Oryzias latipes: one gene and its partner. The protein of the gene in region 2 interacts with the protein of the main gene of each other region in a pairwise test. Links are inferred from orthologs where the notes say so. Each region holds a gene or a part of one and is shown on either strand. Other genes may lie near its edges.

Region 1 (4,087 bases), on a different chromosome or scaffold from region 2:
AAGGGAAAACAGTTAAAGAAACAAAGCTGGTGCATCATTCTATAGTTACACCAACCTTCCTCATGACTGACTTTTCAAAATAAAAGCATTTGATTCTTGCCTCCTTCCTAAACCCTTCTGCATTTACAGAAAAGCATCTGTTTTATAATCTTTTTCGATCATTTTACTTATTCTTTTTACGGTTAATCTGGTGTGGACAGCACTTTTTTTATTTAACAAATATCCAATGATTAACTAGATGTCGGTTATCTGTCGTTTTTATCCTGATGAGTTCAACAGCCAAGCTCCCCTGACGAGTTTATTACTCTAGAAACCTAAAGCAAAGGCTTTTTCAGAGAATCAAACTGAAATATTCATGTTTTCTTCAATAAACAGTCAGAATTGACAAAATCAGCAGAGAACTTTCATAAATTCATTCACGTCTCCGTTTGCTTTGAGTTTTTAGTTTGAATAAATCAACTAAATTAGACGTTTTTTTAACAGTAAACAGAAGAAACTGAAACTCTTCTGATTGGTCAGCTGTGTTCTGCAACTTCCTTACAATCTGTGATTCATTACTGATTACTTGTTATTGTTCAAAGTAATCCCTTACTTAGCATACTTTACAGAATACCTTACATAACTCATGTATTACTTTTCAATGACTTTGTAAAGAACTTGAAAAGTGTCTCACATTTGGATGGAAGAGTACCGGATGCTTGTAAGATAATATAGATTTTTGGTAACAGCTTAAGTTTAGTCCATAAAAATATTTTTTTTTTTGTAAAAAAGAGAGACTGATCAGAACTTTGTGTCCTCAAAGACAGAAACAAGCATTCGACCTCATAAAGACGGTTACCATGACTACTGTAACAGAAAGGCAGATTTTGGCCTTGTAAAAAAAAACTAGACACTTTTGAGAACATTAAAATAAAAGTCTGGATCTCTGAAGGAAGTTTTGACATGCACTGAAGGAAATACTAATAAAAAATCATTAGGAAAGCCCCAAAATACTTTGGTATGACACGAAAGTAATCCATTACTCTTGAGAAGAACTTCAGCGTTTTGTAAAGGCCACGTTAAGCATGAAACGCATTTAAATCGGACACATTTGAGCCGTCTGTTACCTTTGCAGGCTCCACACCAGGTCTTGTGGATGATGACCATGACGGGCAGCCCGCTGTTAAAACAACCACATGAAAAGTGAACAGAGGTCCCACTGGAGCCTGAAGACAGCGACACCATGGATGTCAACCTTCAGCGGAAACGCAGACACGGGTTAGGGACTGGGAGCGCTGCAGCTCACCTGGCCTCAGCTTCTTTCTTGGCATCCTCCAGCGTCCTCCAGTGGATGTTGTCTCCAAAACCTGCAGGAGAAACGGGCAAAACACTGCAGCAAAGTGTTTGAAACGGTTTTCCTCCCAGCAGGACAAAGACCTGAGAGGAAACTGTGGCAAACAGAATGACATGTCTTCCATCTGGGATGGATTCAGATACTAGCTGAGCGTTCACTCCTGTCATTTCACTTGTTTTCTAAGATTACATACTTGGTACAAATGAGCACATTTTCCATCTCAACCCACTTTGTTTTCCTTCAGGATGCCATCACCAGCTCAGCAGGAAATATCTGTTTCCTTAGCAGACGACTTTGACTTTTATTTATTTTAAACATGCATCTAAGGCGAGGCCAGCCTGAGGTCAGACTGTCTTCACATTTTCAAACAATGTCAGCAGCGAAAGATAATCCCATTTAGAGAAAAGCTCACTGAATTTATCGTCTGAATCCTTTCAGCATCAACTGTTTACTCCAAGCTCAAGGTCCACGGGATAAAGAGCACGCTGTGACCCGATAACAAATTCAGTCCTTTTTTTTTTTTTAGCTTTTTCTATTCCCATCAGCATAATGTTTATCATGTTATTCTGTCTTGTTTGAAAGCAGCTGTAAAGACACAACTTTCTTTAAAGTGGAGCTTTCATTATTTCCTTATTTTACACCTACCTACCTTGTTAAGTTCTGCAACCTGCTCAGCATCACTAAAGGCGCTGAATTCCCTGTTAGTGTGGTTCATATTTGAGCCCAGTTTCATTTACACACACATAAACCACAGGATGCATCCTGTTCTGCATCAGTTTGGCTGTTTCCAAAACATCTTTGGACCAAATCATCATCATGTGCACACAAGTTCAGTAAATGCACAACAAAAGCACTGAAGAAGAAGTGTTAAGTTCGTTACAGTTCATGCATAAAGTCCTTCAAAAATTTTACTGACATTCCCTGAAATCCATTCAGATCACCAACTTTTACTATGATTATTTTGGATAAAAATGAACACAAACACTGGGCAAACGGTGAGATCTTTGAACCAGCAGAAGAACAACTTGTGAAGTCTAAGAAGGAAGCAGCGCGTGAAGCAGTCAACAGGATGCGGGCTTAGCGCTTCAGGATGCGGGCACAAAGACAGACAGACAGGTGGCTCTCCTCTTCTTGCGGGAACGGCGTTACTACTCCCCGGCGTCTGCGCCGCAAGCGCGCCCCCGTCGGACTCACCTCTGCCGCTGGCGCCGTCCACCAGACCGTGGAGCCCGCACAGACACACCAGGACCTTCAGCAGCGTGAAAGCGGCCATGTTCACCGAGGACGGCTGCATTTTCCGCGGCTTTCTTCCTCACGTCTGCGGCTACAGGGTGATATAATGGCAGTGCTGGTTCACAACTTTCGACCCGGACGTTCAACGGCTGCTTTTCAAAATTAAAGCCCGTGCAGGGTGATTTTCAAGCCGAACGTTGCGTACACACGCGCACGCGCATGTGCGCGAGTGGCTTCCTATTGGTCGACAGATTCCTCTTGCCATTTTGAGGCCTGGGTCACGTGACATCATATCCACACGACCGCGTGCTCCGCCGATGTGCCCCATTAGTCAAGGCAGACAGCAAAACGTCGGCCGGAGACAGGAAACAAAAGCAGAAACGTGCATTTAAAAGCCCCAATCTGCAATAATCATCACAATCGTTTAGCCTGTATGCTGTTTTAAGAAAACTATATGCACTTGTATTACTTTTGTCACTAAATAATTGTACAATTACTTAACGATTCTTCAAAAGATTCCCGAATCTTAACACTTAAGGATTTTATTGTGAAAACTCAAAGCGGAAGTGATTCCTTAATGCCGTAAACTCGTCGATGCTTCTGTAAGCCTCACTGCTCCTTTTGTAGCAAGAGAAGTTCAACGGAACCTACATATTTTCTTCGTGCTCAGGTAAATTGAATTCATTGCATTGCTTGTAAACATCTAAATGGTCTAAAGTAGCTGTAAGCTAACAGTGTAGTCATGAACCCACTTTGGATGGAGCGTTACTTTGCTGCAATGCTAGCATTAGCTCAGATAGCCTGGCGTTTTAGCAACCCGATTAGCTCCACTCGTGTTCAAAATAATCATCTTTTATTTTTGATAGTCGCCTTACAACAGTCTCCAGCATCGATAATCTAGACGACCCGGCCGTCTGGTGTTCTATTTGTATTGTTTGTTACTGGTAGAATCGGAATAACGGTGGTTGTTGCCTAATAACTCGGTGTGGTTTAGCTTCACATGATCGTGCAGCCCCTTCAGCGAGCCTGTAGGAAAACTCTCAGGGTTAGACTGTTTGACGGATCACCAAATTCCAATTTATTTACTTTATATTTGGATTGATTGTGAGTTGACGTGGTGTTATGTGAACTTTTTTAAATTAAGTTAAATCCATTAAATTCAAACACAAATCCTTATGAGTTTAAGCTACTTTTTTTTAAATGACATCAGACATGTCTGATGTCATTTAAAGTGACTGCATAAGATTCATAGCTAACTGTATTTTGCCAAATAATAAAAACTGTCCTGACAGTGATGATGATCTCATAATCTTGTCTCCATATCTGCACATCCAGACTGAGAATAACGACATTTGTTGTGTTTCTTTTGGAAGAACCAGAACACTATGAATCAGGAAAAGCTCGCCAAGCTTCAGGCCCAAGTCCGAATAGGAGGAAAGGTAATGGCTTCCAGCATTTTCTCTGCTGTTGAGTTTTTTTCCTGTTATGGTCTCCTCTGTGGCTCATTTTGGAGTGCAACGG
Region 2 (4,155 bases):
TGCTGATTTTGAATCACTGTGAAGCATGTTGAGTTGCAGAAGTAAAATGTGCTCTACAAAAATATTAGATGAGGGTTTGCCCTTATCTAATATTATTATGGGCCTCTTATTGCAGTACTAACCATCTCCACATTTCAAAATAACTGATTCCTGCTAATTTTGTCCATGTGTACATCATCTCTTGAGGGTTAGAAAGTTAAGACAAGCTGAAAAAATGTGGATATTTAAAACACTTTCTTAGGTCTGTAGAAATGTTTATTTGTCCTATTGGAAAAAAAGAGCAAAGAATCTGAACTATGTGAACTCTTGATCAAATACACCCAATTTGAACTAATTATAGATAATTTCAGCAAATATTTTAACTCTGCTTTTTCAAATTGCCATCTGTGTATCTGTAATTAGTGTACGTAAAAGGTTTTAGCTGAAATTTTAGAAATTAAAAAACGAATAAAGTCCTACCCCTCATGCAAGACAATGAAATAATAAAATAAATATGCATTTGTTTCATTTAGATGTTTTACTGATTTGGCAAGGTTTAAAAACAGGTCATTTCATTTCACAGCTTTAAATACAAGAAGCATATTTATTAACGGCAATATAAAACAAGTACTGAAACATCGTCAAGGTTATTAGCCTACATGACATTCCTCAATACACTAACAAACAGCAAAACCAGTTACTTTTATAGCAGTTTTGAATATAGCAGAAAAGCCAGGAAAAAAACAAACGTCAGGTCAAATGAACACAGAAGGGAGGTTTGGTCACTTTCCATAAAGAGAGAAAAGATTAGTAACAGAGTCGTAAAGATACAGAAAAGAGGATACATTAAAATTGGCACATTCGTAGCACAAAGGGTGTGCGGTGGTAATTAGGGGTGGTTACACCAAAGAACAGGAGAGGAGGAAATTGCTGAGAGATAGGTTAGAGACAAGGACCATGCAGCGAGCTCAGACTGCTGTTTTCAGTACTGGCTATGACCACAGTAAATATGGCTGCCAGGCAACGATAAAGCACAGATACATCCAGCTGTTTCTCATTTTGAACAGTGTAATACTCTGTTGCTGAGTTTGGCAACATTTATGAGGCTTCCTCCTCCAGCGAGGACTTGTTCCATCAAACATTCTCAAGAGTATCAGAAAATCTGAGATTAGGAGAGCAAAAATGCTGCCGATCTAAAGTCAGAATTGTGTCCAAGAACAGCCTTCCCCTGTTAGGCAACAGGACTAAACCAAAGAAATAGTGCATGTTCATTCAGGCACTCTAACTTGCCTCATTGCAATACTCTAATAGGTGATGGTGACTGTGTGTTCATGCCTTATTGAATCAGGCTTCGCCACATACAGACTCAGATACGCAGAAAAGACACATGCTTTCATGTGCGAGCAATGGTGCACCCTTCATGTGCTAGTGCGCACAAACACTCAACATAAGCACACTCCCTAACAGAATAAAACCTTTAAAAAAAGAACTAAATGTATCCAGAACAGTCTTTTTCTGCTTTGTTTCCCATAGATCAGATGAGTGGCTTTCCTCAGAGCTGGTTGGTATTAACATTACTTATGTTAAAGTAGCTTCGCAGGTATAGCAGCTTCCCGTCAGTAGCGTCTCAATGGCACTGCAGTGGTACAATGGTGCTTCAAACTTGCTTGTCTGGCAGCTGTGGCTGCAGTCCTACCGCGAGCGGACTAAAATCACACAGCCCTTGTTTCGATTCAGCTTCACCCATTCAGGTAAGTGCAAAAATCCTCATGGCGTTCAACAATAACCACTGTGTTATTTGTCTTCATCGTCGTCAGTGCTGCTGCTGCTCAACACCGAAAACATCTGCATTGCAGAGATCCGATATCAGGATTCAGTGAAAGAATACATTCTGCTTTCCATCAGTGGCAGGTGTGCAGTCATAAAGGCTTATCGATCATGGTCACACCTGTAAAAAAAAAAAAATATGGATCGGTGGTGTCACAGCTAAGCTTCACCTGCAGCAGGATCATAAGCATGAAAACAAACAGTTGAGGCTGAAATCCAAATCTGTCTTAAAAGGTTTTTATTTAAGATGGCTTATTTTTTCAATTAATATCATAAATAGGTTTGATATACATTTAAATTTCTTTGATTTTTTTCCCTTTGTTTTTTATGTTTGAAATAAACCAATGAAGTACACATGAAAAGAAATGACCCACTCAAGGAGTAAACAAACAGGGATTTTCTACTCTATTCTCAGAATCTGGCTCGGAATCTTCTCCGAATACGTCGCGCGTTAGTCAAACAAAGGTTCAGGGATGAACTGACCTGCATAACTGCGGCCTGTGCTCATACAAGTGGGCATTAAAGTCCACTTGTCAGTGTTGGGGTTGTAGAACTCAACTGAGGCCAAATTGCAGCTGCCATCATCTCCTCCCACTACATACAGTAAGTTGTTTACAGCACACACTCCTGAAAACACAAGTTCGAAAAGGTCACCTGACATCAGAGGGATCTACCAGGTCCATGGGGGTGGAAGAGACGCGCCCTTCACTGACCTGCGTTGCGTCGACACATGTTCATGTCAGCTACTTGACGCCAGCTGTTGGAGGATGGATCGTAGACCTCACAGCTCTTCCTCACTAGAGGACCATCGTGCCCCCCCACGGCATACAGCAAACCTTTTAACACACCTACACCTGGAGAAGACAAAGTACACATTTTAAACCACAAAGTAAACACAAAACTGTTGAATGTGGATAATTAAATGCCTCTCTGTGTGTATTTCATAAAATACTGCTGAATGCTTTAGTGTATTTCAGATCCTGATTTCTTTACAAATGTACAGTTCCTGCTGTGGGGATAAACACTTTAATAAAACATCACATGATCCCACAAGTAACGTTTTTAGGATATCAAAGCTTAAAGGTTTTCCCATTTGACCACTAGGAACTGGATCATCCAAGAAGACATAAAATGTACCCAACATTCCAACATTCCATCAATTAAACTACTGGTTTTGTTCTGAACATACATGTGCATTTCTTTGGTTCTTGGAAGTTCAAATGTGGGTGATCTATAACACAAAATCTTTAAATTAGTACAAAGAAGCAACACTGGATTCTAAATGATGAAAATAAGGCCTGAAATGGGAAAGGCCGGTTTGCTCCACCCACTTCAGGGAGCAGTTCCTATATCTTATGAAACATAATATATATACATAATAAAATAACTGTAATGTACGCCATGGATGATTTTGCAGGAAAATCTCCCACTAATCTCCTAGACTTCCTTCATCAGAAAAATCTGAGTGAGAGCAGCTGTGCAGATTTGTGTGTTTGGCGCTGAGCATCACCGTGTCCACTATGTCTGTCCAGCGGACAGCAGTAAAGCGAATTAAACTCTACGCAGAAACACAACTGGACAGATTCGGCTCTCAGCACTGGCCTTGATGGAATAGAAAAGGACTTCTTGACGGAACTGAAGACCATAATCTACATGACAGGGTGATCAAACTGTTCTTGAGGAAAGAGAAGAGGATGGATTTTGTCTTCAAATAATCCGATTTTTTAAAGAGTGAAAGGATAAAAATCGTAATAAATTCAATTTCCAAATTTATGTGGTTGTTTTCAATGTTTTGAGCTGGTTGTAGTTCCATAACAGCATTTGTTTACTGTTTTGTTTATTTAGAGGCATTTATTGAGGATACAGGAATTTTCAATAAACAATGCAAAGCTTGTTTCTGCATCTTAAAATGGTTAATGAGGGGTTGAGTGATTCAGACGTAGCACGACTGAAGGCCCAGGTGTGTAATGCACGGTCCGCCACTGCAGCTAACATCATAATTATAGCAACATTTGATGTGAGTCAAGTGCTCATTTCAAAGCATACATTTGTGAGTTTGATAAAAAAAAAAAAAAAAAAGTCCTGGTCTGTCTCCTCAGAGATGATGGCACTGGAAAGCACAAAAACCTTCTGACATTTATGAAAAAAGAATTGAGGCAACTGTAAACACACACCCTCACACACACACACACACACACACACACACACACCGAGACCTCCTGTGAAAACTATCAGTGCAGTCAATGGTTAGTTGTAGCCCAGCCCCCACACACCTGCTCCACTGCGTCTAGTGCCCATCTCTGCTATGTAGCTCCATGTGTTGCTTTTAAGGTTGTAAGCTTCCACTGT

Evidence for each region.
Region 1: the proteins of klhl2 (region 2) and txndc12 interact in binary tests that used the Homo sapiens proteins (3 or more experiments, as listed by UniProt). The two-hybrid records come from large-scale screens. The link is inferred for Oryzias latipes from reciprocal best matches to the Homo sapiens genes KLHL2 and TXNDC12.

Annotation. Positions count from the first base shown.
Region 1 is NC_019875.2:4,319,631-4,323,717, forward strand, and holds the start of txndc12 (thioredoxin domain-containing protein 12), read right to left. Parts: upstream 2,801-4,087; 5' UTR 2,628-2,800; coding exon 2,528-2,627; intron 1,347-2,527; coding exon 1,286-1,346; intron 1,160-1,285; coding exon 1,107-1,159; intron 1-1,106. Other genes in the region: btf3l4 (transcription factor BTF3 homolog 4), read left to right, coding at 3,952-4,005. UniProt on the Homo sapiens protein: Protein-disulfide reductase of the endoplasmic reticulum that promotes disulfide bond formation in client proteins through its thiol-disulfide oxidase activity.
Region 2 is NC_019859.2:19,776,541-19,780,695, reverse strand, and holds the end of klhl2 (kelch-like protein 2), read right to left. Parts: coding exon 4,080-4,155; intron 2,661-4,079; coding exon 2,520-2,660; intron 2,434-2,519; coding exon 2,290-2,433; intron 1,928-2,289; coding exon 1,899-1,927; 3' UTR 501-1,898; downstream 1-500. UniProt on the Homo sapiens protein: Substrate-specific adapter of a BCR (BTB-CUL3-RBX1) E3 ubiquitin ligase complex that mediates the ubiquitination of target proteins, such as NPTXR, WNK1, WNK3 and WNK4, leading most often to their proteasomal degradation.